2 linked regions of the Danio rerio genome follow. The protein of the gene in region 1 binds, or shares a complex with, the protein of each later gene. Links are inferred from orthologs where the notes say so. Each region holds a gene or a part of one and is shown on either strand. Other genes may lie near its edges.

Region 1 (17,320 bases):
ATATATATATATATATATATATATATATATATATATATATATATATACATATACATATATATATATATATATATATATATATATATATATAAATATATATATATATATATATATATATATATATATATATATATATATATATATATATATATATATATATATATAAAGTTATAGCTATTAATAAAATAAATAAAGTTATATATATATATTAATAAAACTCATGCAATCTGCACCCCCGAAATAAAAGTACAAAGACTGGTGGTGCATAGAGAAAATTTATTGGTATGAACTTTTTAGATCGCTTTAGTACAATTTTTGTATGATAATAGAAATGCAGAATATGTGACTTTTAAAAAAAGAAATAATACATTAATGCAGTCATAAACATGTTTTGGCAGTTAATATGCCAGTGATTATGCTTCACAAAAGTTGCAGACACCTTTAACAAAATCAAAATGCTTTTGTAAACATCCAGTTATTCCATACATTGATTATTAAACCGGCTACAATAATAAAGAAAATCTTTTTTTAAATGGAGAACTAAGTACATTGATATGCATTGAAATACATGATGAATACTCTTGACACAAGTGTAAAGCCTGCAGCTCACAACAAATGTGGAAAGTTATTGCGTGTCATATTTAACAAATCGTTTACTGCTAATTTGATGTAATTTTGCTCACATGGATAATTGAATATTAATCAGATGATGTCATTACGCTGCTGTGCCGTCAGCCAATCATGGCTTTGCTGATCATGATTTCGAGGATCGATAGATCTGTCCTTCACAACACACGCAGCACTCTCAGATCTGTTCATCCAGACATTTTAATCTGATTCGCGAACTTGTTTGAAGAACCAAATTAGCGAGAGATCAGTTATCAAGATTAAAAGATCCCGGATCTGCCAAATCATCTTAGATCTTTTAAGCGAGGTACGAAGAACGGACCCCAGATCTTTTATTCCCGGTTGCGCACGTCCTGTCTTGTTGATATAATTATACACGTTACTATGGAGACATGTTAATATGCAGCTGTCAATGAATTTGGTGGGCAGGGAAACCGCATTCCTACGTCAAACTACGGTCGGTCAATAGACGAATTACAATGTTTGTAAACATTCAGGATGTGCACGCAGGGAGGTGGCAGAAAAAAGCCGGGAGCACTAGCATTTACAGTGAGGGAATGACATCCAATGCGGTACAGAGTTTGTTGTTGTCTTAGAAATAAGATGTATTGATTACATATTATATATATTATTTACATAATGCTTTCAGCATATTATAATAGCTTGTCACCCAGTGACAAGCACATTGAATCAGCAAAACTAATGTTAAAAAGTTAGCAGCGTTCATCTGACAGGTCCATTTGCGATAGCACCCTCCCAATGAATATTGGATAAGACGAAATGACCAAGCATCCAGCCCCACATATACAGTCTCATTGAAGCTCCAAGTGATTCACAAGAGAGAAGTTAAAGGCCTACAAGTCTTTGGATGCCAACAATATTGTTCTTTGTGGTCATGTGCAAGAAATAATGTTCCATAATTACCAGATTCAATTTAGTGCTAAAAACCGAGGTTCTGAAAAGCCGAAGACAAGGAAAGAAGACAGAACTGTACAAGGCCTTGCAAAACAACTGCATTCTAACAGCGAACTATATGGCAGGGTATGTGAACTTTCACATAAAGGTAAAGTCGGTTTTATATTCACACATTAGGACTTTCTACTTAATATAATTTCACAAAAGTATTATTTGCAAATTCTAAATAGCGAAATCATATTAGCAGCCAATGACTATCAAAGTACAACATTGTTCACTATCAAATAAACAGTGTTAATGTTGTTTCTGAAATGAAATAACACTTGCAGGTTATTTCAGACCGAACAATATTAAGTGCCGTGGTAAACAATATAGGGATTGTGTTTGTGATTGTGAAGTTGTCACTGAATGAATGTGTGAAAATAAAACCTACTTTACCTTAACTTACACTTACATAGTTTAATTAACCATATGTAACAGTTTTTGCTGTAATCATTGCTGCAATCAAAAACGAGTAATGTGTATGATTCAGCATAGCATGAACTTACCTGATATAACATGAAAACTGCAGAGTCCAGCATTTCTAGTTAGGTTGTCACTACATTCAGCTCCCTTTTAGCCAAATATGTCTGCAGTTAGCATTAAAGCAGTGTGGCGTACAGTAAAAGTTATGTTTTCTATTTTTGGACTTTCAAGTTTGGCATCCTACAGCACAACATGACATGTTTGCTATTGCAGCCGGTCTTTTTTTTTGCAACCGGGGACCCATGTGATGTCATGTATGATGTAGGTTGGTAATTCGTCTATTGGTCGATGGTAATATTTCACTAGATAATTTTTAAGACACTTCTATACAGCTTAAAGTGACATTTAAAGGCTTAACTAGGTTAATTAGGTTAACTAGGCAGGTTAGAGTAATTAGGCAAGTTGTTGGATGATAATTGTTTGTTCTGTAAACAGTCAAACAAAAAAAATTATTAAAGGGGCTAATAATTTTGATCTTAAAATTGTTCATAAATTAAAAACTGCTTTTATTCTAGACATAATAAAATAAAGACTTTCTTCAGAAGAAAAAATATCAGACATACTGTGAAAATGTCCTTGCTCTGTCAAACATCATTTGGGAAATATTTAAAAAAGAAAAAAAAAATTCAAAGGGGGGTCAATAATTCTGACTTCAAGTATATGTCTGACTAAACAGCTTGATAAGTAGATTTTTCACCATAGGTGCCCTTTAAATTTCAGAAATTCTAATAGAAATGAGCAGATGTCAACCTAGCAATGAAAAAAAGTAAGTTGCCTATAAAATTTGGAAACCATTTCTGGGTTTTTTATGTAAGCAAGTGTTTCACAGTACTTTAGAAATACGCAAAAATGCATCTGTCAATGTTTTCAATCTATTTTATTTAATTTACCAAAGTCACACAAGTGGCAATTTCACATCCGTCACATCCATAACTGAGAGATGTCACATCCATAACAACAGTTTTTACCTCATAAATATGAAAATATTAAATTGAATAAAACCAATCATTTTTGTTTTATAGAGAGCCAACTTATATCCTTTTGATTATCATTATGTCTTTTGGGTTGTGCAGTTTAATTCACAGAATTTCTACAGAGTATGTTGTATACTGTAAACCCGCAGACTTTTTTTGTCACATCCATATGTTTATTTTCCACATTTAAAGTACAAAACATGTTTACAGATTGATGTTTTTCTGGTCCCATAACTCTGTAATTAGTTGTTCTGGAAAATATAAACAGATGGTTCAATTTAATGTTAACATACTTTCTATACGGATTTATGTGTTGAGTTTTTACTGCAAATGTCACATCCATAATGCTGGAATTGGTCAAATACATTTATAATCATTTATGTATAAAATCAAACAAAATAGGTCACAGAATGCATTAAAATGACAACCCTGGACAATATTACGTCTTATGTATCAAGTCAGCATATGACAACATACAGTATGTTCGGTATGAAACTTTTTAAAATATGTGAAATATTACATAACGTAAATGTTATTAATTACCAAATAATTTAAATAAAGTGAGTGTCAGATGACAGCATACTCTCTAAAAATGCTTGTCTGATTCAAGACAGATGTGGATAAAATATGGACAAACCCAAATACTCACTTAAAAAACAATATTAAAAAATTAACCCCCAGGTTTAATTTGACTAGAAACAAACCAGCATTTTATAAGTATTCAAACAGGTTAAAATGAGAAATTAATATGAACAGCATAGGGAATAACTGTTTTAAATCCATTTGAGTTTCTTTATTCTTTTAAACAAAAAAAGAAGATGTTTTGAAAAACGTTGGGATCCTGAAACTATTGACTTCCATAGAATTAGTTTTTCCTAGAATGGAAGTTAATGTTTATAGGTTTTCATCTTTCTTCCGAATATTGTCTTTTGTGATTAACAGAAAAAAAAAACTTTGGAATAATAATAATAATAATAATAATAATAAAAAAGGTTTGGAAGTACTTTAATAGTAAATAGTTAGTAAATACCTGAACTATCCCTTTAAATATATATTATTGACTAATACAGCATGATATTAAAAAAAAACTCATTTCAAAACTTATTTGACTTTCTTTCTTTGGTTAAACACAAAATACGTTATTCTGAAGAAAATTGTAACCTGCAACCTTTGACTTCCATAGTAGAAAAAAATAATTCTATAGAAGTCAATGGTTACAGGTTTTTGGCTTTCTTCAAAATATTTCATTTCTATATTCAACAGAATAAAGAAACTCAAAAGTTTGTAAGCACTGACGGGTGAATAAATACAAAATAAATGTTCAGTTCTTTTAACCATTATACATTTTTCTGCAAAAAAATGTGTTTAAGAAAGATGTTTTTTTAACAAACCTTTAACACAATATATCTGGGGCTTCTGAAAAAAAGCATTAAGGGCCAGAGCCCCAGAAGCAACTTCCCCTGTTAAGCCCCTGAATGAGTAAACAATGACAGCATTTTTCATTTTTTGGTGTTCCATACCAGCTGATTATCCTTTTTGGTTAAACCAGTGGGTCTCAAACTTTTTTCATCAAGTACCACCTCAGAAAAAAATAGTCTCTCCAAGTACCACCAAAATGAACAATATTGAAATACAGTAGCGTAGTAGGCCCAGTAAAGCAGCTACAACCCTGCACAGTTAAAAAAACGTGGCAGATTACCTCAAAAATATAGGCTATATGCCATATGGCATATTATATACATCATTTTTAATAAATTTTGAAATATGTGTAGCATGTACATGACATATTTCATTCCTTCACGTACCACTAGAAGGAAGCCTGCGTACCACTAGTGGTACACGTACCACAGTTTGAGAACCACTGGGTTAAACTATCTCTTTAAAGAAGCAAACCTCCTTGAAGGACACAGATGTTTTGGAAAGAGTCTCCTCTCAAGCACTCGCATCCTTCAGAGGTCACAGCTGTAATAGATGGCGCTGGACTCAAGAGCCGGAACAGCTCCATCAAACGGCCCTCGGGACGCCTAGAGGATCATTTCCCTCTTAACTGTCACTGCATTTATACAGAGCGGATGTGATCCCAAATAACCTGAGTCATGCTGGCAGTCCTGAGCTTCACGATAACATGCTTTATTGTTTTAAATATAATCACCATATACAGTAGCAGAGCCATAAACATTGCATGCCGTAAAATATTATTAATCGCAGATGAGTACACTTCTAGTAAAAATTGGGATTACTAAGACTTTGTTCTCAAAAAGCCTATTTTTTATTTTTTAATAATAATAATAACAATAATAATAATAATAATAATAATAATAATAAATATTGATATTATTATTATTATTATTATTCATATTTTCATTTTTGTTTTATTATTATTAATATTGCTGTTCTTATAATTACTATTATTATTATTATTATTATTATTATTATTATTATTATTAATATTAATATTATTATTATTATTATAACAACATTTTTATTATTATTACATAATATTAATATTATTTTTAGTATTATATTCTAATATTATTATTATTATAGTCCTCCTTTAGATATTTTTCACTTAAATGACAAATTTAGATTACAAAATGAAAACAGACTGAATTCTTTAATAACAGGAATAGGCTGTTTTTTCCAATCATGTTTTTTTTTTTTTTTTTGTCAAAACAATAAATATATGATGCTACCTCAAATGTATTATTATTATTATTATTATTATTATTATTATTATTATTATTATTATTATTATTATTATTGTTGTTATTATTATTATTTATTTATTATTATTAATAATATTATTATTACTACTACTATTATTATTATTCTTAGTAGTAGTAGTAGTAGTATTTAATTATTCTTTATTATTATTAATATTATTATTTTTACTATTATTATTATTATTATTATTGTTGTTGTATTATTATTTTATTATATAGTATATTTATTATTATTATTATTATTAATAATAATAATAATAATATTTTATTATTATTAATCTTATGGCGACATTATTGTTAATATTATTATTATTATTATTATTATTATTATTATTATTATTATTATTATTATTATTATTGTTATTGTTGTTATTATCAATAATAATGTATTAATGTATAAATGTATGATCAATAATAATGTCAAATGTATAAATAAATAAATAAATAAATAAATAAATAAATAAATAAATAAATAAATAAATAAATAAATAAATCGGCCCTGGCATTTTGGGACAGAGCGGCCCACTACATTCAATCAAATTGCTCCTCATCTGTGCACGACCTTAAATAGGTTTACCAACTCCTATTCTATAAAAGCACAAAACCCATAAATAGGAAATTATGAGAATTGACTAATTAAAAACTTTTAAAATATAACTTATTATTATTATATAATAATATTATTATTATTATACAATTATAAACCACACTTGAACTCCATCTTATGTGTGCCTGTGTGTTTTGAGGAAGCCTATATTAAATAATGAACATAACAAAAACGGCTTGCAGATGCGCACAAATAATGTTAATTAACAAAATAAAATTAAAGTTGTATCACAGAACCTTAAAAAATGTTTGACTCAACAATGAAACATAAAACATAGCTTAAAGATTGTAAATAGTCAATTAAATGAACTTAAACAATTATTTGCAAAAAATGCAACAAATATTTGTTTGGGCCTGAACTACAAAACTATATGTTAAAAAAGTATTAGTTTTGCATAAGTTGCACACTAGTTTGGTCATGTATAAATATCATTATAACCATATTGTATAAATATTATTGTAACTTTATAGGCCTACATCATGCTGACAAACAAAAACAAAATGTCATGATATTTCATGCAATTGTCTTCTGACCGAATGCATCTTAAAATATATGAATGACACTCCTCAGCTTGAGAAGCATACATTCTTTATGATATATATATATAATTTGTAAAATAGAGACTGACAGGTTATAGAAACAGCATAGGAGGAAGTTGCCGCGGGCCTTGGTGCAGATAAAAAGTAAAAAAAAATAGTAAATTTTCATTGACGGATAGGTAACTATATAGAATAGACAGGAATATATAATGTTCTGTGGAATAGTTGTCGATCCACTGCGCACTACAGACGCAATTGCCTATTTGCCGCTTCTGCTCTCCTTATGCGTGTGTGGGGTGAGAAGCAGGGGTAACTCTCGACTATTTTGACAAATACACAGACGTTGCATGCTTACACAGAGCCCAAAATGGAAGTTTGGGATTGGGTCAGCCCAATGTCAATAAAGAAAAGAACCAAATTATGTCACATGGGCCTGTCTGTTCGAAAATGAATCACCTTCAGAGCATCAAAGATCACAGCTTTCGTCAATTAATTAGGCAAAATAACACGACAGTCTGCTAAGTGTTTTAATGGGTCGATCAGATCAGATCAGAAGAAGATGATCAGCTGGTCCAAAAAGTATGTAAATTATAATTTTATGTGAGAAGCTATACATGCCATACAGATTATTGAAAGTTTAAAGCAATGCGCTTGCTGCTTTTGTACAGTTTGTCTTAAGTAAAACCACTGTCCATTGAGACAATCCCTTTTTCCTTTTCTTTGATGCGTTCAGATTAATAAATATCTACTCTCATTGACTGCATGACTTATTGTGACTACTTAAATTTTAATTCAGCAATTTATTTTTTTTAAAGCTAATTGATTAAACTAAACAGTAACTCATGATATTTCAAAAAAAGCAATTCAAATATTAATATTTATTTCTTAAAAGTAATGCGTTACTTTACTTGTTACTTAAAAAAGTGATATTATTATGTAACTTGCTTTGCTTCAATGTGTTACCCCAACACTGATAATAATTGATCATAACAGAACAGCAAATCAGCATAACCATTGCTGAAGGATCACATGAAAATGAAGTCTGGGGTAAATTCAACTTTTATTTTTTTTTCTATTGTATTTCTAATCAAATAAATGCATGTGTGGTGAGAAAAAAAACGTAATAAACTTGACTTACAAAAAAAAAAGAAAAGAAAAGAAAAAAATAAATAAATACCAATTCCAAACTTTTTGACCAGTTGTGACCAGTTTGAATTCATGAATAAAGCATTTCAGCAAATGTATAAAAGATTCATTGCAGATATCAAAGGAACTCTTGCACACAGGAACTTGAGGAACTTAAAGAGATAAGCCGAAGAGGGAGGGAAAAACCAAAATAGAGGAAGCAGGGAGGGGGAGGGTTTGTGCAGGTTGGAGACTCAACCCACAGTGTAGAATAAGAGGAGATCGAGAGAGGAGAGACCGACCAGAGAGACAGAGCGTTTATATTCTCCCACTCTCAACACAAGAAGACAGCATTTAGACTATACTATACTTATCCAGAGATAAACACAGACTTCAAAGAACATGAAACCTGGTGAGTCACTGTTCATTTTACAGTTTGGGCATGATTTGTTTGCGATTGAAATTATGCCGTTTTCATAGTTTTTTCTGTAGTAGGAGCAATAACAACAAAATAATAATAATACTAATTAAAAAATATTATTATTATAATTATTATTATTATTAATATTATTATAATTATTATGTTTTTTAGAATTATTTAAAAATAATTTGATGTTTTGTCAGGATTTATTATTCAATAAGTGGTATTAATAATATTTCTCCAGATTTTTCCTAATTTTACAGTAGTCATTACAATGTCCTTCATAAGAGAGATACCTGAAATAAAACTATAAACACAAACACACACACACAAAAGTTAAGTGTTGTCAAGGAAAAAATTAGCTTATTTAAAAAAAAAATTAAAAAAAAAAAAAAAATATATATATATATATATATATATATATATATATATATATATATATATATATATATATATATATATATATATATATATATAACAATCCTAATACGTTCAATTATCAAATATCAAATGTTCTTTGCTATAAACAAAACTTGAATCTAACTAGCAAAACCCTAGAAGACAAAACAATGATAACCACTGCTGGAAATGAATATAATCACAGACCACAGAGACTGCAATGAATTATTCTAGAAACGTATACTTGCATAACATACTTAGTTTTGTCCCAGTTAACCATATTATGTCTGCCATTGTTATCTCTTTATACTGCATACTGTTCTTCTGTAAAATAATAATAATATCACAATACAAACTTGCATAATAAAACATGGGTAAGGACACCCTAAACTAAACGTCAAGATCATTTAACTTCGGTAAATATTAATTAGAAGGTTACATCTCAGCGATGATGCTGATAGCATGACATAAAAGAACCAAATGAGCAGGTCTCATCATGCCCCTGGTGTTTCAGAGAAACTGCAGAGAAAAAACGATTTGAACACAACAGCCTCTTGCATGCTAAGACAAGTTCAGATAATGCAGAAGTATACTGAAGATATGTGGGAACACAGGAACTAATACTTCAGGAACTTATTTTCACTTTGACAATGGCTTTGAGCTCTGGAAAGGCAGGAAAACAGACACACAGATTTGGTGTCATTTAATAGGATTTCTGCAAAAACAATTTTTCAGACATTGCAAAGATATGGTGTAACTGTAAAACTGTTCACTGTACTTAACAGAAAAAAAGTTATGTAAACTCAAAATTTGATTACTGTATATTAAACTGAAATATGGATATCCGCAGCGCTTCGGTTCTCAGAATCAAACACAGAATGAATAAATCATTAACTACAGCTTTTCCAAGCACAGTTTATTCAGTTATTTAGGTCAGTGAAATGACTGTTCAGATATATAAATGTATGTAAGTGTAAGCTTCAATTGTAAATAAAGGGGACCTGCTGTACAAGATGCTCCTTTTTACAAGATGTAAAATAAGTCTCCTATGTTCCTAGAGTGTGTACTTGAAGTTTCAGCTCAAAATATCCTACAAACTATATTTTATAACTCTTGAAATCTACCCCTTTTAGACTTTGATCCTAATGTGCAGTTTTGGTGACTGTCACTTTAATTTAAAAATAGCTTGAAAAGTTCCCATGGTGACCTGTCAAGTTTATCACGTGACCCACCAGCCCCGATGATCTATGTATATATTGTATTTTGTTTCTTCATGAGGAATGTATATTTTGTCTTTTTAACAGCTTAATAATGAGAGTATTATTTGTTATATGATGGATAACCGTCACCACTGCTGTAGCTAAAGGGCATATAGCTGCGATCTGATGTTAACAAGTGGCATTTTTATTATGCGATTATTAGATATAGCTGAGAATACACTAATTAATATTGCATAATCTGATCAAATTTTATTTTATTAGATTATGCTTTAGTTACGCGAGTATCCATAGCTGTATTCCATCTAGACCTCACCCTCTTCTGCAGCGCGATGAAGTCTAGATGGGCTACAGCTAAGGATACTCACATCAATGTAGCATTCCTTTTTTGTGACACAGCACAACAAATAACATTTTAACCGTGAGGTCGGGTTTAGGGTTGAGGTAGGGGTAGACGCTAATAAAATATAATAATGCGTAATTTAATAAATAATATCAATACTTCACGGTAACTTCTAATTGCAGCTGTATCCCTATCAAAGCTGTTGGATTGATATCATGCTTATTCATAATTTTACAAACCTTAAATGTGTTGCAAAAACACATTGATCTGCTTCATAAGACACACATTAACACCCTGGCAGCTAATGGGTTGGTTATACAACCCATTTATGCGCTTTTGGAAGCTTCAAAATAAAAGCCACTATCCAACACATCATAAAAAAGCTAGGTTAAATGTTTTAAGTTGTAGTTTTCAAGCATGTTCTTGTAGTATCAAAATGTAAAAATTGTAAAAGTTCTGTAAAAATATGCATTATACAAAAATTTGTAAACTATTAGGTTTTACAGTGTAAAAAAAGAGTGGTCAGAATCCAGAAATATTGATGGCCCTCCATGCCTTATGACTACAGTATGTGTGACATTTTATGACAATATTTGCTTGTTTCACTTAGGCTAATGTAGCTACAACAAGACACTGTACAGTTAAGTTGTAAATTTCGCATAGCAGATGCAGTAATATGTATCTCCAGCACTTTAGTTCTCAGCATTAAGCATGCAGAATGAATAAATCATACTCTACTGCTTTAGTGATCACAATTTATACTTTTATTTTGGTCAGTGATATGACAGTTCATATATATTATTTTGTTATTATACAAAAAAATGAACACAACGTTTTAAAATAAATGCATTATTATTTAAAAAAAGAAAAGAAAATATATATATATATATATATATATATATATATGAAATGATCTATACATTTCTTGCAATTTTTTGTGAGATTCAGCATAAGTTGAAAACTGTTCTTAAACGTTGTTCTCACTGTAAAAATATTTAGTTTCCAAATAAACATTAAATAAAACCAATCATTAATTAAACATTAAATTGAAAAAAAATAATTAAATGTAACTCAAAAAACAACCTAATTAAGTGTTATACTGTCGATTAACAGAGGTTGAAAAACTACTATGAATAGTTAAAAATTTATTAAAAAATACATGAATTCACTTAAAACTAAATTAAATATATAGATTTTAATAAGCTAATTTAAAACCATTATAGTAAAATGTAAGTATTAAATTGTATTTTACAGTAACTGTAAGCAAATGGCAATGTAATTATCTTGATATTAATAAAAAGCAAATAAATACTACAGAAGAAAGTTCATTCTTGAAAAGAAAATCTTAAATAGTTCAACTGGATCCTGTTTTCTAAATAAAAAAAAAATACTTTATTATACTTAAATAATAAATGTCAGATAAAATCTTATTAGGGATGCTCATTTCGGTAAAATTTTGCCAACCAACAACCGCCACTTGTAAATCGAATATTAACTGTTAACTAGTCAGATTGTAACAACTACTTTTTTTTTAAGCTAAATTAAAGAAATTGAGAGACCACAAAAACAACTTTCAGAGATTCATGTGTATTTAGAATAAATGTATATGACAACAGGTATGAATAATTATTGTTACACACTGGGGATATGCAATGATCAGCAGTCAACTCATTAATGATCACTTTTCGACAGAAATAAGCATTTGATAAGTGTCTTTCTCATTGAATCCAGTATTTATAGCAAGCAAAAAAGATACCATCAGTCCTTAAGTGAATCACATGAAAGATCAATTTCAGCAAACAGTTCATCAATGGTTGGCCACGGAATCAGTAGGAAAGTGGATGGGAAAAGTCTGCGGATATGAGGATGGATTGTCCAGGTCCTGTTTTGATGACTTAAAGTGTATACCAAAAACCCTATCTGAGGTATAAGAACAAAAATGTTCTCAAATAAGGGCATCAACAAACAACAGCGCAGTGAAGAAGCCTTTCCATGTGCTAGGCACCATACTTCCTCCCTACTGCTTCTACTCTACCTCCTTTTAAGCAGATTGGAGACTTACTACCTAGATCCCCCCCTAATGGGAGAGATAGCTACTACAGGTAGAATTTTCAAATAGTAACAGGAAAACTGTTACAAGATTAATATTAAAATATTATTTAATTCTATAAATGTTAGACTAGAGCTCATACAATTTAAAGTGATGCATAGATTACACTATACTAAAGCTAAACTTAACAAGCTGTATCCTTCTATCTCTCCTCTGTGTGATAAATGCAATGGCGCAGTCGGGACTTATGGTCATATATTCTGGTGCTGTCCAGAAGTATCTGAGTTTTGGAAAAGTATCTTCAGACTTTATTCCCAGGCTGTTGAAATGGACTTTAAAACTGATGCGGAATTAGCACTATTTGGATATTCAGACCAGGCTCTAATTTCGCCTAAGCATAAACAACTCTCCCTTATGTTTGGTATGATATGGTGATGACCAATAGAGTGATTCTGATGGAGTGAAATCAACGACACCTCCAAAATGTTTTAAATGGTTAGTTTAAATGGTTTCTGTCCTCAAGCTGGAAAGGTTTTGTTTCTCTAGATTTGGCAAACAGAAGTTGTATGACAAAATATGGGGCCCCTTCCTTAGATGTATAGGTTAATAATGCTTCTGTAATTATTTTTTGTTGGTAACCTTTTTCGGTAACACTTTATAATAACTACACACTATAAATCATTTATTAAGCATTGGCATCAAGTGAGTTCATTATCTGTTAAGCATTAACTCTACATTAATAAACGTTAGTAAGCAGTTTACAACTGCAGCTACAAATGCTCTATTATTGACTTATAAGCACCAATATATTGTGTTTAATAATTGTACTTTCATACTTTGTTAATGATTTTATTTTTCATTACTAAATTAAGTATCGCATTATTTACAAATTATTTGTATTTAAGAGTAGCTGAGAGTTTTAAGGAACATTCAGAATGAGTGAGTAAATGATTAATAAACTATTGAAATCAACCTTCATATACTGTATCTTATTAATCAGGCATACATTAATAAGTACTATATATGTTAATAAATGCTTTATTAACTCAACTTCATCTAGTTTTGTGACCTAATCTAAAGTAAGGACTATTTCTGCTTTATAAATCCCTTATAAATGACAAATAAAGGCTCAATTAAATTTTAAACAGGAAAAATGACGTTATTCATTCCTATTCATTTAAAGATACACACATGAAACTGTTTTATTTAAAAATAAATCTTTGCAACCTTACCTGAAATAAAATCACTGTTGAGTTTAAACATTGCATCTTACTATATTGTTATATTATTATAGTGTCGTTGATGTTTTATCCAGTTTTATGTTGTATTTTGACACTCCTATTATTCAGCAATGTTTAAACTTTACAGTAATTTTACTTTTTAAATAAGATTGCAAGGATTGATGTTCATTTGATTCTGAGCCTTTATTGGTCATTTATAAGGGATTTGTAAAGCAGAAATAGTCCTCACTTTAGATTAGGTCACAAAACTGCATGAAGTTGAGTTAATAAAGCATTTTTAACGTATTAGTTAACTATTAGTATATGCCTAAATAATAAGATATATAAATGTTGATTTCAATAGTTTATTAATCATTTACTAACTCATTCTGAATGATCCTAAAACCCCTCAACTACTCTTAAATACAACTGGTTTGTAAATGATGCAATTCTTAATTTATAGAAATTAAAAATAAATCATTAACAAAGAATGAAAGTACAATTATTAAGCACATTATAAATGTTTTTGTAAGACAAGAATAAAGCATTTGTAGCTACAGTCATAAACTGTTTATTAACGTTTATTAATGTAGAGTTAATGCTTAACAGATAATGAACTCACTAGATGCTAATGCTTAGTAAATGATTAATAGTGTGTAGTTATTATAAAGTGTTACCCATTTTTCTTGCTTTCCTTATTATTCCATTAGTCTGTTTTTTTTATTTATTTTTTTATTTTTTATGGTGATGTATAATTGCTGTATTGTCTGCTAGTGTTTTGGTGCATGTTCTAGTTAATATCAATTAATAACACCAAGATAATTTTCTTAACATATATACATGATGTACACTATATACTGTTATATTTTTATAAAAACTTCTATAAATGAAGTATATATATATAATTTTGGCTATTCAAAATGTAAAAAAAACAAAAAAAAAAACAAGGCTATTCAAAATGTAAAATTAATGTAAACGTTAGACAAAAACTATTTAAATTCAAAATTTAATTGTTTATGAGAATTTTTGTTTAACTTGTAACACTGCAGATTTCTTCATGTAAACAACATAAACCATCAAGATCCTGGCTTGACAGTTTCTTTCTGTGTTTCTTTATTACAGAAATAAAAACACAGGCATGTTAATGCCATTTGAATTTTGAAACAATCATTGCCAATAAAGACAAAATTGATTTGCAAGTTGGATTCCAAGTGGACTGCAAATAAATCCCAACATACAGGCATTGCAAATATGGAAAATGGAAAATAATAATAACAATAAAGTACTGAATGCAAACAATTGCACTGTGAATTTTGTAAAGTTTTTGTAAAGTTGCATTGCTGTGAGTTGAGAACATTAATTATAAAGCAGAAACAATTTTGCTTAGTCCTTCTTTTCATTGAGCCAGTTGCTAAAACAGTCCAGTCTGGATGTATCTATTTTGTGTTACAATAAATATTGCAATTTAAAATACTGATTTATTTTAATAGTAGAACAACAGCGTACAGAACAGAACATCTTTTTACGAACCTGTAAAGTTTCCAACAGCATAGAAAAAAGAATAGAATAAAGTCCTCCTTTAGATATTTTTCACTTAAATGACAAATTTAGATTACAAAATGAAAACAGACTGAATTCTTTAATAACAGGAATAGGCTGTTTTTTCCAATCATGTTTTTTTTTGGTCAAAAAAATAAATATATAATGCTACCTCAAATGTATTATTATTATTATTATTACTATTATTTATTATTATTATTATTATTATTATTATTATTATTATTATTATATCACAAAACATCTGTCAACATTTTTGTATAGAAATTATAAGTATGTCTTATGGTTATGACTTATTTCCATCTCACTCACGGTTAATGTGTGCATGGTGCGTGTGATGAAAGACAATGACAAACTGTCAATTCACCTTAAGGCTCATACTGTATGTTGACTTTTAGTAAAGTATAGACTACTATCACATATGTTTTGTTGTTTACGTATAATATTGCATTAATTTGTATACATGTTTTAGAAGCCATAAAATAAAGACCTTAGTTTGGTGCGGAGTAAAATATTATGCAAAAATCAAGACATTCTTTGTACTTGTTTGATTTATAGATTATGTAGGATTTATTATTTTTTTAAATGGATTGTTGTACACTGAATCATCAACAGCCTATTTGTTGAGTTTATGATGCGGATCTAGGACCGAAGCGATCAGCATCAGTGCTGGTTTGTGTTAACTCGTCTGTGTCTAACTGTGACAAGAAATAACCTTCTTTCTTTTTGCGTCTTTGACAAAATATGTCTAGTCATGAGTGGTTGCACATGTCACCGTCCCACGAGTTTACAAATATGTGTTCCAGTTGCACATTTACCATCCATTCACACGGGTCAACAGCATCAACGCTTCCCATTCACTTTGAATGGGTGATGTCAGGCGTTGCCGAACTGCATTGTGGATCAGTCGGCGCTGCTTCAGTGATATTGTTCTCTGCAGAAGTTAGAACTCTCAACTTTAAGTGCAAACGGAAGTGTCAGCCAATCAGATCGCTGTATACAACTACACCAGCTCAGACAGTAGCCGATTGCTGACTAATTTCATAAGCTGACGCTGCTATGACGATCGCGTCAGCCCCAACTTCAGACACACCCTCTGTCAAGAGATGACACGGAAGCGCTGTGTGAATCGGGCGTTAGGGGCACCACACCACCTTTTATGTTGACGAAAAAAAAAAAAGAGCGGTGCTCTTTTTATGTTCCTAGGAAATAACTAAATCAGCTGACCCGTATTGTGTGTGAGTGTTGCTGTCCATGTTGTTATAATAGTAATATTTAATAATATTGTGATATTCAAGATTTGTAAAGTCATACAGCTCTGGATAACTTGAAACAGCGACCACAAGTCTCTCCACCATCTTCAAAAGTTATCCGTAGTTGTCTTGACAACACAAACACTGCTGTCAACTCAATGCCTCTGTTTTCATTTGATCGAAGAATGAAAAAGATGCGACTGACGTAATGCTCCTTTACCGCTCGGCTGACTTTTATTTTAACTGCAAGCACATAGCACACAAGGCCAAAATGCAAGGCGCACAAACACTCGGGCTGTTAGTAAACCATTCAAATGGTGCGCCTCTCTAAAAAAATTATAAAATAGAATTTTTAAATCTTTTAACTGATACCATTAACCGGTTACAAATGCATCATTTCGGTTAAACATCCTCTAAATTTCGATGAACATCCTTAAATCTTATAATTTAATCATGATAATGATTGTTTTCCAAATCAAAGTCATGTATTGTGAGCAACATGCAGGGTGGAAAAAAACATTTGCGTCAATAAGTCAACTTCAACAGCAGATAAGTTGACCTTGTGAAAGGCCAGGGTTAGTTCAGATTGTGAAATATCTTTTGTGCAACTCCACAAAAATGTGATATTTATGACTGAACAATTCATGATATTTATGGCCCTTATTATATCAAGTGCACACAAACATTATAGACTTTATCCTGACCTTTTTTTTACTCTCTTTCTCAGTCCCTCACTCTCTCTCTTACATACACATATACACACAGTCTCTGCATGTGGGAGGAACAGTTGGTGTTCAACTTCACCCTGAACAGACAAGTTTATCA
Region 2 (17,303 bases), on another chromosome or scaffold:
TTAACCCACCCTTAAACCTACCCATACCACCAAACCTGTCCATAACCCAACCTCTATCCCAACTCAAAAGCACCACAAGTGTTCCCAAATACATTATAAACACAGTAAGTACATCGTATTTATTTATTTTTTTTACATAGTAGTTAAGGCCACTTAATATAAAGCGGGACCAAAAATAGCTTAAAGGGGCTAATAATTTTGACCTTAAATAGTTTTTTGAAAAATAAAATAAATAAATAAATAAGACTTTCTCCTAAAGAAAAAAAAAATATTACCAGACTTACTGTGAAAATTTCCTTGCTCTATTAACACCAATTGGGAAATATTTAAAAAAGAAAAAAAATTTCAAAAGGAGGACTAATAATTCTTCAACTGTATATGCATGCATGCATGCACGTGTGTATTTTTTATATACATAATAAACACACAGCACACACACATACATGTCAAAACAAACTTTTATTTTGGATGCGATTGATTTTTGCCCAGTACTATTTTAAAATATTAAATTTGACTTTTAACGCTTTTAAAATAATAATACTAAATAATTATTGTTATTTACTTTTGAATAATTTTTTGCCACATGACTAGACTGATTAAACTAATTTCATAGCTATATATAATTTAATAAATCGCTTATTTATTAGGGCTAAAAAGGGAAATGCTATGATTTATATGACTTTTTGGGGAAGGTGCAACCACATGAATATTCAGACATTGAATGTTTGGAAAAATAAATCAAATTCTAACATTACAAAATGTTATAATTGCTTTTATTCTTGATATTAAAGATGCAATAGGACAACTGCGATAATGTTAACCGGCAAGCATAAATCTCTGAAACACAGTCCCACCTCTGCCGTCCAAAGCCTTTAGTTGAAATCTGCATTTGCTGACAGTTTGAGCTACTTATTGGAATTATGGGAGATGTCAGCCAGAAACTATTTTAATTGGATGAACATTTTTTAGTTTTATGCCTTACCCAGAAAATAAAAATACATTTAAATACATTTAGATCATTTACTTTAATCAATACTATTGGAATGTGAAGAGACTTTCAACCAGCACAACAAAAAGTGTTGACAATCACCTACTGCACCTTTATTATAATATATTATTTTAAGTATATTTTCCAACAAAGTCAAATAATCAAAAGAAAAGCCAATATTACTTAATATTTGATAGATTTTTATACTTTTATGACAACAATTATAATTATTATTAATTATTTGTTTTTAATTATTTTTAAAATACAGCTAGATCATTAAATAGTTACGCATTTATTATTTTTATTTATTATTAGCTTGGCAATAAATCAGATAACATAGTAATATTTTTATGCTATCTATTTTCACCCTCTGATTTGAACTAAATGTATTCTGAATCTCAGCACAGAAAGCAATGCGACTGCACAGTGGATCATTCTTGACAAAAATAGTCTGTTTTATTGCGCCCCCTAATGTTACGCATGCATTACTACACTCATACATAAGCATTCACTCTCAGAAATAAAGGTACAAAAGCTGCCAATGCGGCAGTACCTTTTAGAAAGGAACACATTTGTACCTAAATGGTCTGCATTGACACCTTTAAAGGATATAGTAGTAGCTAAACAGTAGCTTTCTTATTTTTTAGGCACATATGTGTACCTTTAATGCACAAACATTAACTGTTGGCAGCGTTTGTCTATGAAAGTACCAGTTGAACACCAGTCCGGTATTTTAAAGCATAATAGATGACCAGAAGAGATGCGGAAGCTAATGACATAATAAATCACATCAGGCACAATAATAACCTGGATTATCAGAATTGTTCTACTGAGAAAAAGATCTTGATCATTTCAAAATCATAATTACACAATTACATGAGAAGATTCCCACCTACAATTAAGTAGTGCCTAATCAAAGGGTAATTGAGTTCACTAAAATGTATTTAAAAATTGAACTTGTTTTATTTTAGTTAGATGCCAAAGCAATATTTCTAAAATTCATTAAGTTTACCTTAAACGAGCAAAACTAAAACGAAAAGGCAGAGTGAAAAATAAAAACTGCACATAAAGAAATTAAATAAAATAAGAAGAAAACATTCACACCACCATCCCCTTCACATAAAAAATACAAAACATTAATATAAATATATACAGGGCTTGACGTTAACGCCCGTCACACAGGGCTACATCGTCAACGCTTGACAGAGGGCGTGTCGAAAGTTGGGGCTGATGCGATCGTCGTAGCCGCATCAGTCAATGAAATTAGTCAGCAATAGGCCACTGTCTGAGCTGGTGTATTTGCATACAGCAATCTGATTGGCTTTCCGTCGGCGCTTGAAAAGTTAAACAAGTCTCAACTTCTGCAGTGAGCAACGCCTCTGAAGCAGCGCTGACGGATCCACAATGCAGTTCGGCAACGCCTGACGTCACCCATTAAAAGCAATTGGGAAGAGTTGAAGCTGTGCCCCGTGTGAATGTGTGTGAACATCACTAGCCACTCTCCATTTTCACTAGCCACAATTTTATTGTTAGGAAAACATATTTTATATGCATAAATTTGACTTTAACATGCTAAAATGACTTGATTTTGGGTCATGTCCGCATGCATTTCACTTTGTGTGTTGTGCATGACCTTGCTCAATGTGCATGAGCATATGGGTTGTGGTTTCATAGCAATTAGTTTTTATTTCACATGACTTTTCAGGGTTCAAAATTAAGGATTTACCATTAATTATTTAATTTATCTCTGACCACACCAACAATAAATTATTATTTCTTAGCCATACATTTTAAATAATGTGTCAAAACAAGCAAAATATAGCTCTATACATACACTTTTTTATTAAACAAAACTTTTCTTTTTAAAAATGATATTGTCATGTATCTGAAACAATGCATAGTCTGTGTCCTGGTCAAAGGTCTCAGATCACCAGTTAACTAAACGGGAAGTCAATCTCCTATTAAAGCAATCTTATTGTACAAAATATAGCTAAACCATACATTAACAAAAACAACTAATGCCTAGTTCAGACTGCGTGATTTTAGCCCTGATTTTGGCTCGCCGATAGGTTTTGAGAAATCGTCGACAAATGCCTGAAATCACGGGCAAATCGCTGCTCGTGCACGTGAGTGACAATCACACAGTATGAACTTTCAAAGACGCGATCTGAGAGAATCACCGATGAGTCGCCGATGCCTGTGAGATATTTGTCATGCTAAATATCTGGAGCTGTCGGCAATTCAAATCATGCCGTGTGAATTGAGTTTTGACTGAAAATAACATCAGCGATCGCCTACAGCCAACGAGAGAGCAGCTTTCACTTGTGTGTGCGTGTGTGTATACCTGCTGCAGGCCAGCGGGAGGCTGGGGGAGAAGTTAAAAGCGCTCTTTTTCGGTTTATTTGTACCCATGAAATGGAGGAAAAACTAGTGGAGGTTTGACAGGACTCAGGAGCAACCGTGTCTGTTTGACATTTCATAGAGAAAGAAATTCGCTTAATATCAACTTAAGTTGAGGGGAAATGGCTAATTCCCTTTAAACCCAGATGAGCAAACATGTACATGTTCAACCCCATTAAAGGCTTCTTTCTCATTATGTACTTAATAACAAAAGATATACTACGTGTTTTTGGCTGTGAGACGTAGTTTGGACGAAGTTGTCGGCGATTCTCCCTATAGTAAAGTCATGCAATGTGAAAGCCCCTGTCGCCGATCCATCTTGCAGTGTAAACAAAGCAGCGACGAAACGCAAGCCCAGATAGTCATGCAGTGTGAAAACATCTGTGACACGACTACTTTGAAAATCATGCAGTCTGAACTCGGCATAAGCAAAAGAAAGCAGGTGGAAAACATAGCGCGTGTGATAATTAAAGGATGGTCGCGCTACGTTAGGCCTGTTAATAATCTATTCAAAGAATGGTGAAAGTGAATGGTGGAAGTGACCCCTGCTGCTTACAAAAACACATCTTTTTACAAATTAGGAGCTCTTGAAAGAAGGAGTACTGTGGGTGCACGAGCATCACCTTTTGTCAAGTCTATTTCAAAGAGAACCGATGAATTGCACCAATTGCATTTTCAGGAAAGGAAACGGGAGCACGCACGCTTTTTAAACAGCCAAGCGCATTACCTCACCTGTGCACGTAAGAGTTATCATCCTCTCATTCGCTATTCATCTGCTTTCTTTTGCTCACGCGAACACAATTACTTTTGTCAGTCATGCTGCTTCTCGATTTTAGGATCACATTTGCACGCATACTGGGCCATCTTTATTGTAGAACCCTGCTTTTAAGACAACTACAATTCAAAAATTATTTCCAACAAGTGGCTAGTCGGAGTGTCTGTCTAATCTACCACAGCTGAAATTTGGCGGGTTGGCGGGTGTTAATGAAAATGATTATTAAACATTATGTGTAGATTTTCAAAAATGTTTTTTTTTTATTGTTTATATATTTTATATATCTTTGTGGTCTTTATTGACTGTTGTTAAGGATGATCAAAATAACCGATTAACCGTTAACTGAAAAGTACGAAAAAGTACGAATAGGGACAATAACAAAATGCCTGAGTGACCCTAGGAAGACCTTATGATGATGAATGTTTGAATTAACATAGTTTTAAAAGTCACACTGAATGCTTTAATAAAATAATTTACCTCCATGCTCGAGGAAGACGCGCACGCAGCGCTCCTTGCCCTTTGCTGCAGAGAAGTGCAGCAGCGTCCAGCCGTTGGCGTCTCTGATCTTGGGCGAGTAGCCCTGCTCCAGCATCTTGCGGACGGTGTAAACATCGCCCGCCGCCACCGCTGCCTGGATCTGCAGCTCCTCCTGCAGCTCTGGGTTCCTTCTGCAGTGATGGTTCAGCATCCTGTCACATCGCGCAGTACTGCCGGCAGACGCTGCTGTGTCCCTGCACACACACGGACACGATAAAGTGAAAACAATAGGCAAGCTCATCACTGTGAATCAAGGGACGAATAATTAAACATGCAAAGCTATATTAAAGTGCAAAAAAACTGTTTTCAAAACTTTTAATTCACCATCTGAGTGATCACACAAACAGACAATCGTGTTTTTAGACTCAAGCTAACAATGAGTATTTTCTAATACTGATTAAATCAGTTTAGAATATTTTCTCATTCATTTGCCAACTATATTATAAATGAAGAAAACCAAACAGATAAATTTATTCTATATAAGGTTATATTGATTTCTAAATATTCTAATATTCTTTAAAATAAAATACAATAAAAAATTCAGAAATTATATATATATATATATATATATATATATATGTGTGTGTGTGTTGCAAAAAATATTACAATCTACAACATTTCAAACTAAATATTACATTTTTTTCTCTTGATTTTTGCTATTTTTGAACATTTTATTTAACATTTTGCCAAACATACTAATTTCTGAACCAATATTGTAAGTTATTTTGTTAAAATAGCTTAATGTATATGTACAAATATAATATTGTAAAGCATACACACACACACACACACACACACACACACACACACACACACACACACACACACACACACACACACACACACACACACACACACACACACACACACACACACACACACACACACACACACACACACACACAGTTAGCCAATAACTTGCCAAATTAACCAAACTTGGCTAGTTAAATTGCACTTAAACTGAATACTTGTATCTTGAAAAATATCTAATTAAATACTGTCATCATCAAGACAAATAAATTAGCTATCAAAACTATTGTTTAAAATTGTGTTGAAAAAAACTTGAATATAAGAACTTGGGAAACATCTGAAACAAAAAAAATAAATAAATAAAAATCACAGGAGGGCTAATAATTTGGTCTTCAAATGTATATATAACAAAATTCCAATCATCAGACAATAGCTCTGTAGATAAGAATTATAATTTATTATCATTAAATAAAATGTAGGGATTACTAATATATTACAAAAACAAATAATTTAATTTTTAATTCAATTGTATTACAAACTAGTTACATTTCACCATTGTTAAATTTATTATTTTAAAATTTGACAATATTCAAAATTATTTTACATTTATATGTAAAATATTTGGTCGTTCTTTATATCTAAGAGGACCACATGATGGTTTGACAGACTAAATATAAGCTAAAAACTTTTTATCTTAGATTTTTGAAAAAGGAAACCTCCATACTTCGCTTTTAAAATGATTTTGCATAGGGATGCACCGATCGATCTGCCGGAGATCGATCGATCGATCGGTACTCGCTGACCTGGTCGATCTCATGAACTAATCACAAGTGTTTATGTTAGTTGGACATGAGCAAAATATTTGAATGACCTTACATGCATTTAGGTCTTTTAACATCAAAGAACTGAAAGTTCTGTGTTTTTGACAATATTGCAAGTTTAATAAAACATGGCTGAAAGTATAACATACAATTAATAATAATAAAAAAAACATTAAAATATTTTTTGACATGAATATTTAATAATATAACATCTTGTAATTTACTTATTACAATCAACAGTACTTTATAGACATACTTCCTATTAGTAAAGTAGGATTTATAGGAAATAGATTTATAGGTGTGCATTTTAACTTCCTATGCATCAAATATACGCTTCAAACATTTCTTGATTGAGACATGTTGAATTTTTTTAAATCATTTGCAACGTTTCCAAACTGCATTGTTAGTTTTATAATTACTTATTATAATCTTATAATAAATACCTATTTATAGTGGTTATAAGAGACGTGTTTAGGGGGTTATATGCAGTATCCTTCATTTATTATATTGGCTAAGGAGAGATCTCCACTTAAGTGTTATACCTAGAGGGAAAAGAGGGTTTGAGGGTTTTATGCATTATAAAGCTTAACGCATCCGAATCGGTACTCATTATCAGCCAATCACCATGAAAAGGAATCAGTACTCGGTATCGGCTGCAAAAATCCTGATCAGAGCATCAGTAATCTTGCAATACTTTTGCAGGAAAAGTGAATAGTTAAAATATGGAAATACTGACATACTGGAAATATTATTCTCCGTACAAAGCCACTAAACCCTACACAAACAACATAAGACAACACATCGAAATGCCAGAAATTACTTTAAAATCTATTTAAAGCAAACAAAAAAAAAACCCAGCTATATGTGAAATTACCATTCATTAATGTCTTGTCGATCTGAAACAGCCTGTGTGTTCTGCATCCATATTCACATCCACTTCAGATCTCCATTCTAGACATGAAGAATGCAGAAACATCAGTATTTGAATGCACACACACATATAACTCAATACACACACACACACATCATTTTTACATGCATTAACGCGTATAAATGCAGATGCATCACATTCAATTAGCCAAATCTAAGCGACGACGTCTTATTTACACAATTATCCGTCACATTACATTGAACATTTCTCTAATACTAACCTCAGCATTCAATATTTACAACCACCCATCAGTTCTTAATGTTATTGTCTTTCATTTTGTGAAAAACGAGCATTTGAATACTTACATTCACCTTTAAACACACACAGATTCGCTAACATAAACGACACACACCACAAACGACCCGAGTTTCTCCATCACCACGGTAAATAAAAGGTAAACAATTGATGTTTGCAGCAGCTGCTCCACTGAGAACAATGAATCTGTTAGCTGGTGCGCTAAAGCAGCTAAAATGAGCCTCAAACAAACACCAAACCGGCTCTTTTAAAAGCCAGGAGTAACTAACTTAATCTGAACACCACTCAAACACATAACACGTTAACACTCATATCGAGGACTAAAGTGAGGCAGAATTCGCTAAACTCTCTGACTGACATGCACAGTTACTACATTAGCATTGTTAGCTTTTAGCCAGCGGTTATTGACCATTTTCAGAACAACACCGCTTTTAAAGTTACTCAAACTCTCTTAACCTTCACCTAGAGGAAACGTCAAACAATATCGGCTCAATTAAGGCCATAATGGCACAGGGGACAAATATAGAAAATATATATAACATACATACAGAGTACAAATACAGTCAGGTAGCCATGAACATCTCCAAGGCTTCAAACCGCAACGCCCAATCAGATTCGAGCTGTCAAATACGTCACGCCTACATCATAATGCTGTAAAAGCAGTACGCCGCTTGGCATATTTATTTTTTTGCGACAATTGTGGCTGAATAAAGGCAAACAGCAGTACATGTGGTTCATTTCCGCGGATATTATGATATCGTTCTACACAAATATAAAAATGAGCAGTTTTTATCACGTTACGAGTTCTGCTTATACGCAGCATCTTTCGTAAAGTCACGTAAGTAAGTCACTGGATTTCAGTACGATTTTATGTGTATTGTAACGTTATATCTCTAATTACACTTTAAGAATTTCTAAATATTACTAATATTTCTTTAGGAAATGAATATCTCAGAGACTGAATCAATTAAAAATTTTGATTGGAAATTCGCCATAAAGCTTGTAAGTGATACACTAAGCTATTTATTTCTCTCGTAATATCAACATATAAGATTTCACTTGATATAAGGAGCATTACTTTGGATCTAAATGAAAATATTTATTATTTTAAACTTAAAAATGTCATCAGTAGTTTACAGAACAAAACAAAAATGACCTTTTATGCAAACACTATCAACTATCGAATGTAACTCCAGCAAAATTGATGAATTATAAGTGTTGTTTATATATTAAACAGTCAAATTATTCATCTTTATTGTACTTTAAAAAGTGTTTACCATTACTATGTGATAAATATCAGTTCTGTTGTTGTTCATTATTATAAATAAATTATATAAACGTTGAGATGGTTGGAAAATCGCCATAAAGCTTGTAAGTGATGCACTAAGCTATTTATTTCTCTCGTAATATCAACATATAAGATTTCACTTGATATAAGGAGCATTACTTTGGATCTAAATGACAACATTTATTATTTTAAACTTAAAAATGTCATCAATAGTTAACAGAACGAAACAAAAAAGACTGTTTACGCAAACACTGTGAACTATCAATTGTAACTCCAGCAGAATTGAGTAATTATAAAGTGTGTTGTTTATGTATTAAACAATCAAAGTACATTAAATCCTTAATGCACTTTAAAAAAAGTTTTTTTGATTAATTTGTGAAAAAATATAAGTTCTCCCTACTCAAAAAACAGCCTAAACCAGCCTAAGCTGACTGAGGTAAAGCAGGTTTGATATTCGCACATTCGTTCATTTAATGGCCCATATATTGTTTACCATGCTAAGTTGAATATTGAGTCTGAAAAAGCATGCAGGGATGACTTTAAAGCAACATTAACACTATCTAATGGACATTTTCTGCTAATATGATTTCACTATTTAGAATTAGCAAAGAATACTCATCTGACATTATATTATTAAGTGGAAAGTCAGAATATAAAAAATATAAAACCAACTTTACCTCTGTCCTAAGCTGGTTGGCTGGTTTTTAGCTGGATGACCAGCCTGGTTTTAGAGGGATTTTGGCCACTTCCAGGCTGATTTCCGGCCATTTCCAGCCTGGTCTTAGCTGGTCAGGCTGGAAAATGACCAGCTAAAATCAGCTTGGCCAGCCTGGTTAAAGCTGGACATTGCTAGTTTTGGCTGGGCTCCCAGCCTGGCTAGGCTGGTCAAGATGGTTTTAGCTGGTCATCTCCCAGCCTCTCATAATATCAACATATACGATTTCACTTGATACAAGTACCTATTTTTTGTTCTAAATGACAACATTTCTTATTTTAAACTCAGAAAAGTCATTAGTAGTTTACAGAACAAAACAAAAATGACCTTTTACACAAACACTATCAACTTTAAATTGTAAATCCAGCAAAATTGAGGAATTAAAAGTGTGTTGTTGATGCATTAAACATATGAAACATTAGTGGGATGAAATGAAAATGTACTTACTATTTACTTATCCTCAAACAGATCCAAACATGTATGTTTTTCTTTCTTCTGTTGAACACAAAAGAAGATATTTTGAGGAATGTTGAAACCATGTAACCATTGACTTCCATCATAGTAAAAACAAATACTGTACTATGGAAGTCATGGGTTAACGGTTTTCAGCTTTCTTCACAATATCTTTTTATGTATTTAACGAAAAAAAGAAGTTTGAAATAAGTAAAAAATTAGTTAATGATGACTTTTCAAAGGCCCTCTAAAAGTTGAAATGATAAATAATTTGAAATAGTTTGAAACAAGTAAAGTGTGAGTAAATGATGCAGAATTTTTATTGTTTTTATTTTTGGGTGAACTATCCCTTTAAGACTTACTGATGATCACTCTTATGATTGTTTTTTCACAGTATGTCATGATGGAGGCTTTAGGACTGGACTTCCACACTTTTTTTTTTGTCTGATAAATCGGTTCTGAGATTTTAAAAATGTATTGTTATATTGAAATGAAAATTTATTTACTATTTACTCATCCTCAAGCGGTTCCAAACATTTTTGCGTCTCTTTATTCTGTTGATATTACGCCCCAAGTCTAGGGGGAAACAACATAGTCTCAATAAACGAAAAAGTCTGTGGGTGTTGGATTTTCAAAAAAAAAAAAAAAAAAAAAGTTAAATTGAAATTCAAAGCGTTTTTTGATTTTCGTTTTTAAATTTTAAAACGAAAATCAAAAAATAGCTCGTTTTTCTTTTTTCATGGTGAAAAACGGAAAACCTAAATTCAAAAATGATTTAATTTTCATTTTTTATTTCGAATAACAAAAAAAAAAATCACCAGAAAACTAAAACGGTCTTTTGATCATTGGATATTCATTTTAGAAACAGATATTGAAAATCAAAAAACGAGTCGTTTTTTTGATTTTCATTTTAAAATTAAAAAACTAAAATTTAAATACAATGCGTTTTTGATTTTCGTTTTTTAATAAAAAAAAAAAAAAAAACGACTCGTTTTTTGATTTTCAATATCTATTTCTAAAATGAATATCCAATGATCAAAAGATACACTGACCTGCAGGCCACCCCTACAAGCTTAAACTCTCAAAATGTTGCTAGTATACATGGGCATTTGTACAAGACTAAAGCTTGGCCGGAGGGGTAGGAAAATCCAGGAGCTCCCCGAACTCTGCTGGAAGTTCCCTTTTATAGACCTCCATGACCAGCAGCCAATCAGAGCCTGGACCATTTTAAAATCGGAGCCTATGGGGTAACAGGAAACAACACAAGGCAGGACAAAGAAAAAGACACATGTAATGCTCAGCAAAAATAAATAAACTAGTCGTAACAGTTAAACAAAAAAGAAGATATTTTGAAAAATGTTGGAACCCTGTAACCATTGACTTCCATCGTAGAAAAAACAAATACTATGGTTGTCAATAGTTACCTGTTTCCAGCTTTCTTCACAATATCTTCTTATGTATTTAACGGAAGAAAGAAATGCATAATGGTTAGAAACAAGTAATAAATGATGACTTTTTTGGGGGTTGAGCTATGCTTTTTAAGACTTATTTTTATATATTTGAACTATTTTCACCTGCTGTGATGAACAGCCACTTCTAAAAGGCACTCGAAAAGTTGAAATGATAAATATTTTGAAATGGTTTGAAAAGGTTTAAACAAGTAAATGATGACACAATTGTCATTTTTTGGATTAACTATCCATTTAAGACATGGGTCTCGAACTCAATTCCTGGAGGGTCACGACTCTGCACAGTTTTTGTTCCAATTCTAATCAAACACAGCTGATCCAATTAATGAAGGTGTTCAAGACTACTAGAGATTATTAAAGGGTCATGAAACACCAAGACACATTTTTTGAGCTGTTGACAGTCGTATATGTGTCCCACACTGCTAAAAACACTATTAGGACACTATATTTCACTAAAAAGTGTAAATTGGTTGTTTTTGCGTTATTTCAAGCAAATCTATACTTTTGGTTTGAAACAAATTTTTGAAGCTGAGTCACGGCCATGAGACAATAGCGTGTATTCCAGCGTGCAGACTGGACGTCTGTGCCAGAGTGTGTCTTATTACGTCTTACAGTGTGATGCATTAATGCATGAGTAAAGCTTGGTTCAAACCAATCAGCGCGCTCTATTGTGCAACTTCATTAATATTCATTACTGTCACAGTGTTTAGACGGCAGAGACGCCACGTTGTGTTGGCAAAACAAGCGTGAAGTGTTGCTTTTATAGTTTGCTGCAGTTAAGTTTTGTTTTCATTTTCTCTCTGTGAGAGCGCAGCTGGGGTCACGCGTGGATTAACAGTGTACGCGACGCTCAACAACAATAACTTACATGTCTAAGGAGGATTATTGTTTACCTGAGAGCTGTTCTCATCTGCAAACGCTGAGATCCGGATTCGCTTGTAGTCTCCTCTTAATAAAGATGCGGCTCTAGTTGCTGGTGATTGTCCTGTCTCTACAGATTTGGTAAGTGAGCGACCAGTGCTCTTTGTTTATTCAGTTTGTTCGTATCGAATTAAGTTAACTATTGCACCGAGTGTAAACATGTTAGCACCACAACCAAACTTTAACCTCGTGTAGGATTTTCACCACATTTTGTGACCGGAATAACACATGTGGCTTTCTGACACTACCTGCCTTTGCATCTAAGTTTCCGGGAAATGCGGTGGTTTTTTTTCTCTCATTCGCCGTGCGGTATCAAACATTGCATGAAAAATACACGCTTAGAGCAGTTCCTCGAATCAAATATCTCGTTTGTTGCGAGGGACATGAATGAATTCCCTGAATGAAAGAGCCAAACTGCAATTAAAGTCCACCATTTAATAATTTGGCAAATAATTCTACTACAGATGTCCATGTAAACACACTCCCTTTCTCCCCTGTGTGTGTGTGTTTTGACTCTAAAACTCAGCGTGCCCAAATAGACACTCCCACACCCTCCCACTTTAGTTCCTCCGACACTCCCCCCTAAACAGAGCTGGACACGCCCACTTTTCTGACTTTTTCCAAAGTAGAGGTGTGAAAACACCCTGCTGAAACGAGGGGGTTTCATGGCCCTTTAAGCAGGTGTGAGTTAAAGGTGGTTGGAGCTGAACTGTGCAGAGCTGTGGCCCTCCAGGAATAGAGTTTGAGACCACTGCTTTAAGACTCACTGATGATCACTCTCATGGATGCTTTATTCACAGTATGTCATTATGGAGGTCTCAGAGCTGGATTTCCACAGTGTTTTTGGCCTGTTGCATGCTGGATCGGCTCCAGGTTTGAGCAGTGAAGATCTCGCCAGCAGAATCTCCTCCTGTGTTCAGACTGTCACAAACACAGATGATACGTGTTTGAGTCTCAGTCTCATTGAGAGCGTCATTAGCAGACTCGCAGCACACAGTTTTACAGCGGACGCCGCTGTATATTATCAAGATGTCATCAGGAGATTGTTCACTGAGAGGAATCTCATGGCTAAACTGGTATGTTTTAAATGAAAGAAGTAATGATATTTTGATGATTATAAAATATAATGTATTTAATAAAGTCAAACCTATATCTGCAGGTTTCTCTCCTCAGCTGTCAGGATAAGCTCGTGTCTCATTTTTCTGCTAAGTGCATGTCTGTCTACGTCATCAAAGAGCTTGGCATTGCTGTGAGTATCACATACCTGTCAACCCTCCTATTTTTCCTGGGATTTTTACAGTTCTATCCCGCTATGATCATGTAATGATATTTTCCCGTATTTTTCCTGTATTTTCAGTGTTTCTCTGAAGGGTGGCAAATAAACATTAAAGAGCTGAGCCTCCCTATATGCAACCCATACCGCCGAACCGCAAGGGGTCGCCCTTTGCTCTTAAATGCGAGTCTGTTCTGTGCTTTCGCTTTGTTTAGGCATGAAAAGACTGTAGCCCCTTTCACACAGTGATACCGGTAAATTTCTGGAAAATTTCCGGAACAACTTTAACGGTATATTGAAAAAAGCGCTGTTTACACAGACAAGGACGTTACGGAAATTTTCCGGAAAAGAGCATTCTCACATCCATTCCAAAATACCGGTAAATTCTGACATCATTCACCACAAATAAGCTTTAAACGGCTGCGCTTGTATTTGTAAACATTTGACTAAATTACAAACTCTGTGGATGATCAATATTGTGAACAACTTTCGCTGGATCACTTTCGCATGTCGAGATGTTCATAGTATGTGCGTGTGCGGCGCTCATAGGCGCACGCAAAGCTTGAAGGTAAACAAACAACGGCTTATCATAAGCATTTCATCGATGATTATTTACACAGTTGGCATTAAGAAAAACATATAAACGTGATCTGACTAACTTCTAGCAGCTAAATGTGTCTGGAAAAATATTCAAAGGCTTTTATCCTCACAAACCGCGCGGACGTAAATGCGTCTGACTGTTGTGATTGGCTAAAGCAGGTGTCTCACGTCAGCACGTTCTAGACGTGCACGCGCTTATTACGGCAATCTTCCTTCTGCATTCACACAGCGCAGCATTGCGGCAAATTGCCGGTAATGTTACAACTTCTCTTTCCGGAAAATAGCCAGAACGAATTTACCGGTATTTTCAAAAAGGACCTGTTCACACATACAACCAAAGGTCTGTATGTGTGAAAGGGGCTTGTGAAATAAACATAAAAACGGCTCGATTCCCTTCCTTTTCACATCCCTTCCGTCTCCCGTTCATATGCAATCCTCAAAACAGTCACATAGAGGTGCATGACTGTCAACTGACGCTGTCACGTACAAAGAATGTTCAGATGGATCCAAGTGCAAGTGAAAAGAGTATTTATTGACACAGTCAAGATAAATGTAAAGAGTGTGTGCGGTGCTAGGACAAGGAGAAACCAGAGCAGGGATCAGACGGGAAAACAGGGTCCAGTGGTAACTCTGCACGGTCCTGAGCACAGACAAACGAACACATAAGCACTTGTAAGGAACTGACAAGGAAACACAGAAAATGTCGCATATATATAGACGTGATAATGAGCCTCAGCTGGCGAACTAATCAAACCAACTGAGTGCCGTCATAACACGTGACCAAAACAAATACACATGGGCAACAAAACAAACTCACATGATCAAACAGACACTCCGGAAGAGCGCACAAACCTGCAACCGTGACAGACGCGCTCCATTGGTAAACAGACGCTGTTTCCTTAACGGATTCTGTCCTCGTGATTTGAAGCTGCTGAAAAAAAAAAATCCCAGAAAAATCCAGCTTAAACCAGCCTAGGCTGGTTTTAGCTGGTTGACATCTCCCAGCCTGACCAGCTTAGACCAGGCTGGAAATGGCTGGAAACCAGCCTGGAAATGGCCAAAACCACTCTAAAACCAGCCTGGTCGACAAGCTAAAACCAGCCAACCAGCCTAGACTGGTTAAAGCTGTTTTTTTCAGTAGGGATAGCTATTAATTTTAATAATTGATTTGCTGCTGATGTTTGCTATTTATTTTTTCTTTTGTAAATAATAATAATAATAAAATGTATTACTGACCATTAACTGTTTATTTACAATAAAACGGCGGTCGGGGGCATCCCTTATTATGGTGGGCATATCATTTATTTTCACATGCCAATGTTGACAGGTATGGAGTATCAGTGTTAAACTTTCATGGGCTTTATGCACAGGGAATTCTTAGGCACGTCTAGTGAATTGTCATGCCATTATAAACTCACCGCGTTTAAAGGTCCAGTGAAATGAAAATTAAGTTTTGTATAGAAGTTTATTATCAGTATGTCTGTCTTTAGGATACCTATAAGCTAGTGTGCTACAAAAAAGTGACAGAATTTGCATTTAAAAGATATAAACAATAAAAGCCTTCAGTTTGTCACTTCCACCTAAATGGATCAATGATTTTTTTGAGGTCACCTCATATTTTAGTTTCTCATCAACTCTTCTGAACAATCAAATACTTTCTAGTGTCTGACATGCCCCGCACCCTTCAAGAAGCTTCTCATTAAGACAAGAAGGACAAGAAGCTTGACATTAAATAAAAATTGTTCCAAAACATGATTTTAAAATATGGAAAATATGAGTGCTTTCACACTTGGGTCGATTACCTGGTCCGCCCCTTCTGCTACGTGAGCAAACCTGCGGTCGTTGAGTGCGTGAAGTGTCCATCATCACACACTTCATTTTACCATCTGAATGAGTGCATCATCATCCGGGTAATTAAAGTGGACTTATTATTTTTAGGCTGTGTCCGAAACCTACTAGTACTCAGTAGGTACTGCATTTGAATTTAAACGTACTACTCGGCCGTTATAAAAGTACGTTCTATACAGTATTAATGTAAAAAGTATGAATGGAATTCAGACGTACTACATCCACCATTTTGACATAGTCATGTGACGTACATGCATCAGTTGCGTCGCTTTACTCCCATTCATGAATTAGCTCGCGGGGCATCATGGGATAGCGCAGCATGCATGGGATGGGCACTCCAGAATCTCGCCAGAAGTAGTAAGTCATCCGGGTACTTCTCGCAAGACTGGCAAACTGTTTTTCGAATTCTAAAGCTCTCAAATGGCACAACATGCACTCATGCACTATGTACTTATGCACTTACACACTCAACAGGGTAGTATACGTATGTAGTGTTGTCCCAAATGGCACACTAATGTTTTTTACTCAGGGAAAATTCAAACCGTTTCCCTGATGACGTTTGACGGTCACCAAATCAGTAAAATAAATGACCAAACTATCAAATAATACCTGCCACGAGTATAACCACATTCACCATCGGGAGGTGCTATAATCACTCTATTGGCGTAGAATAGTGCATAAATATGCGATTTGAGACGCAGCTTTTGAATTCGGACATACTACTTGGCTCACATACTGATTTTAGCATACTGTATAGTATGGAAGTATGCGGTTTCGGACGCAGCCTTAGAGTTTTCAGTGTAAACACACTACTTGCACTGTTTATACTACAAAATGGCGTAGAATAGTGCATAAATATGCTATTTGGGACGCAGCTACTGTCTTTTTGTTCTTCTGAACCCCGGTACACTTGCATCATCGAGCTGCTGTTGTGTGTACAGCTGTTGCTTGGTGACGGCTATAAAAGCCAAAGCGTCAAAATGGAAAGACATACGCACATCAGGGTCGTTCTGCTTTTACTGAATCTTTTGATTTTAGAAACGTATAGAGAGCCACTTGCGTCTCTCTTCCGCAAAAATATAAAGACTGTTCAGAAGGTCAAGGTAAAATTTATTGTCTCCCGTAGGAGAAATTTGCTTTAGAAAAAAGGTTCTGCTGTACATAGACAACAACAAGACAACATGTAACATACATACACATTAAAATCTAATCCTAAAATCATTTAAAGTCATTTAAAACATTTTTATAAAAATAAAATACAATGTGCCCCCACTGCCCT

Evidence for each region.
Region 2: the proteins of lzts1 (region 1) and asb7 are in contact, whole or in part, in a crystal structure (PDB 8Y1U), measured with the Homo sapiens proteins. The link is inferred for Danio rerio from reciprocal best matches to the Homo sapiens genes LZTS1 and ASB7. Residues at the interface, in NP_001349813.1 of Homo sapiens: Arg346, Glu348, Leu349, Leu352, Met353, Glu355, Gln356, Leu358, Leu359, Glu360, Lys362, Leu363, Arg364, Ser365, Tyr366; in NP_937886.1 of Homo sapiens: Asn46, Trp48, Ala56, Ile79, Phe82, Tyr87, Met90, His91, Asp116, Trp118, Val123, His126, Tyr127, Ser147, Lys149, Thr151, Gln155, Leu156, Ile159, Arg160, Phe182, Arg185, Tyr186, Ile189, Lys190, Arg210, Leu220, Leu223.

The regions. Positions count from the first base shown.
Region 1 is NC_133183.1:47,934,381-47,951,700, forward strand, and holds the start of lzts1 (leucine zipper putative tumor suppressor 1), read left to right. Parts: upstream 1-8,298; 5' UTR 8,299-8,447; intron 8,448-17,320. UniProt on the Homo sapiens protein: Involved in the regulation of cell growth. May stabilize the active CDC2-cyclin B1 complex and thereby contribute to the regulation of the cell cycle and the prevention of uncontrolled cell proliferation. May act as a tumor suppressor.
Region 2 is NC_133182.1:9,748,651-9,765,953, forward strand, and holds the start of asb7 (ankyrin repeat and SOCS box protein 7), read right to left. Parts: upstream 8,062-17,303; 5' UTR 8,006-8,061; intron 7,223-8,005; 5' UTR 7,146-7,222; intron 4,895-7,145; 5' UTR 4,852-4,894; coding exon 4,641-4,851; intron 1-4,640. Other genes in the region: lins1 (protein Lines homolog 1), read left to right, coding at 8,400-8,459, 13,104-13,379, 13,463-13,552. UniProt on the Homo sapiens protein: Probable substrate-recognition component of a SCF-like ECS (Elongin-Cullin-SOCS-box protein) E3 ubiquitin-protein ligase complex which mediates the ubiquitination and subsequent proteasomal degradation of target proteins.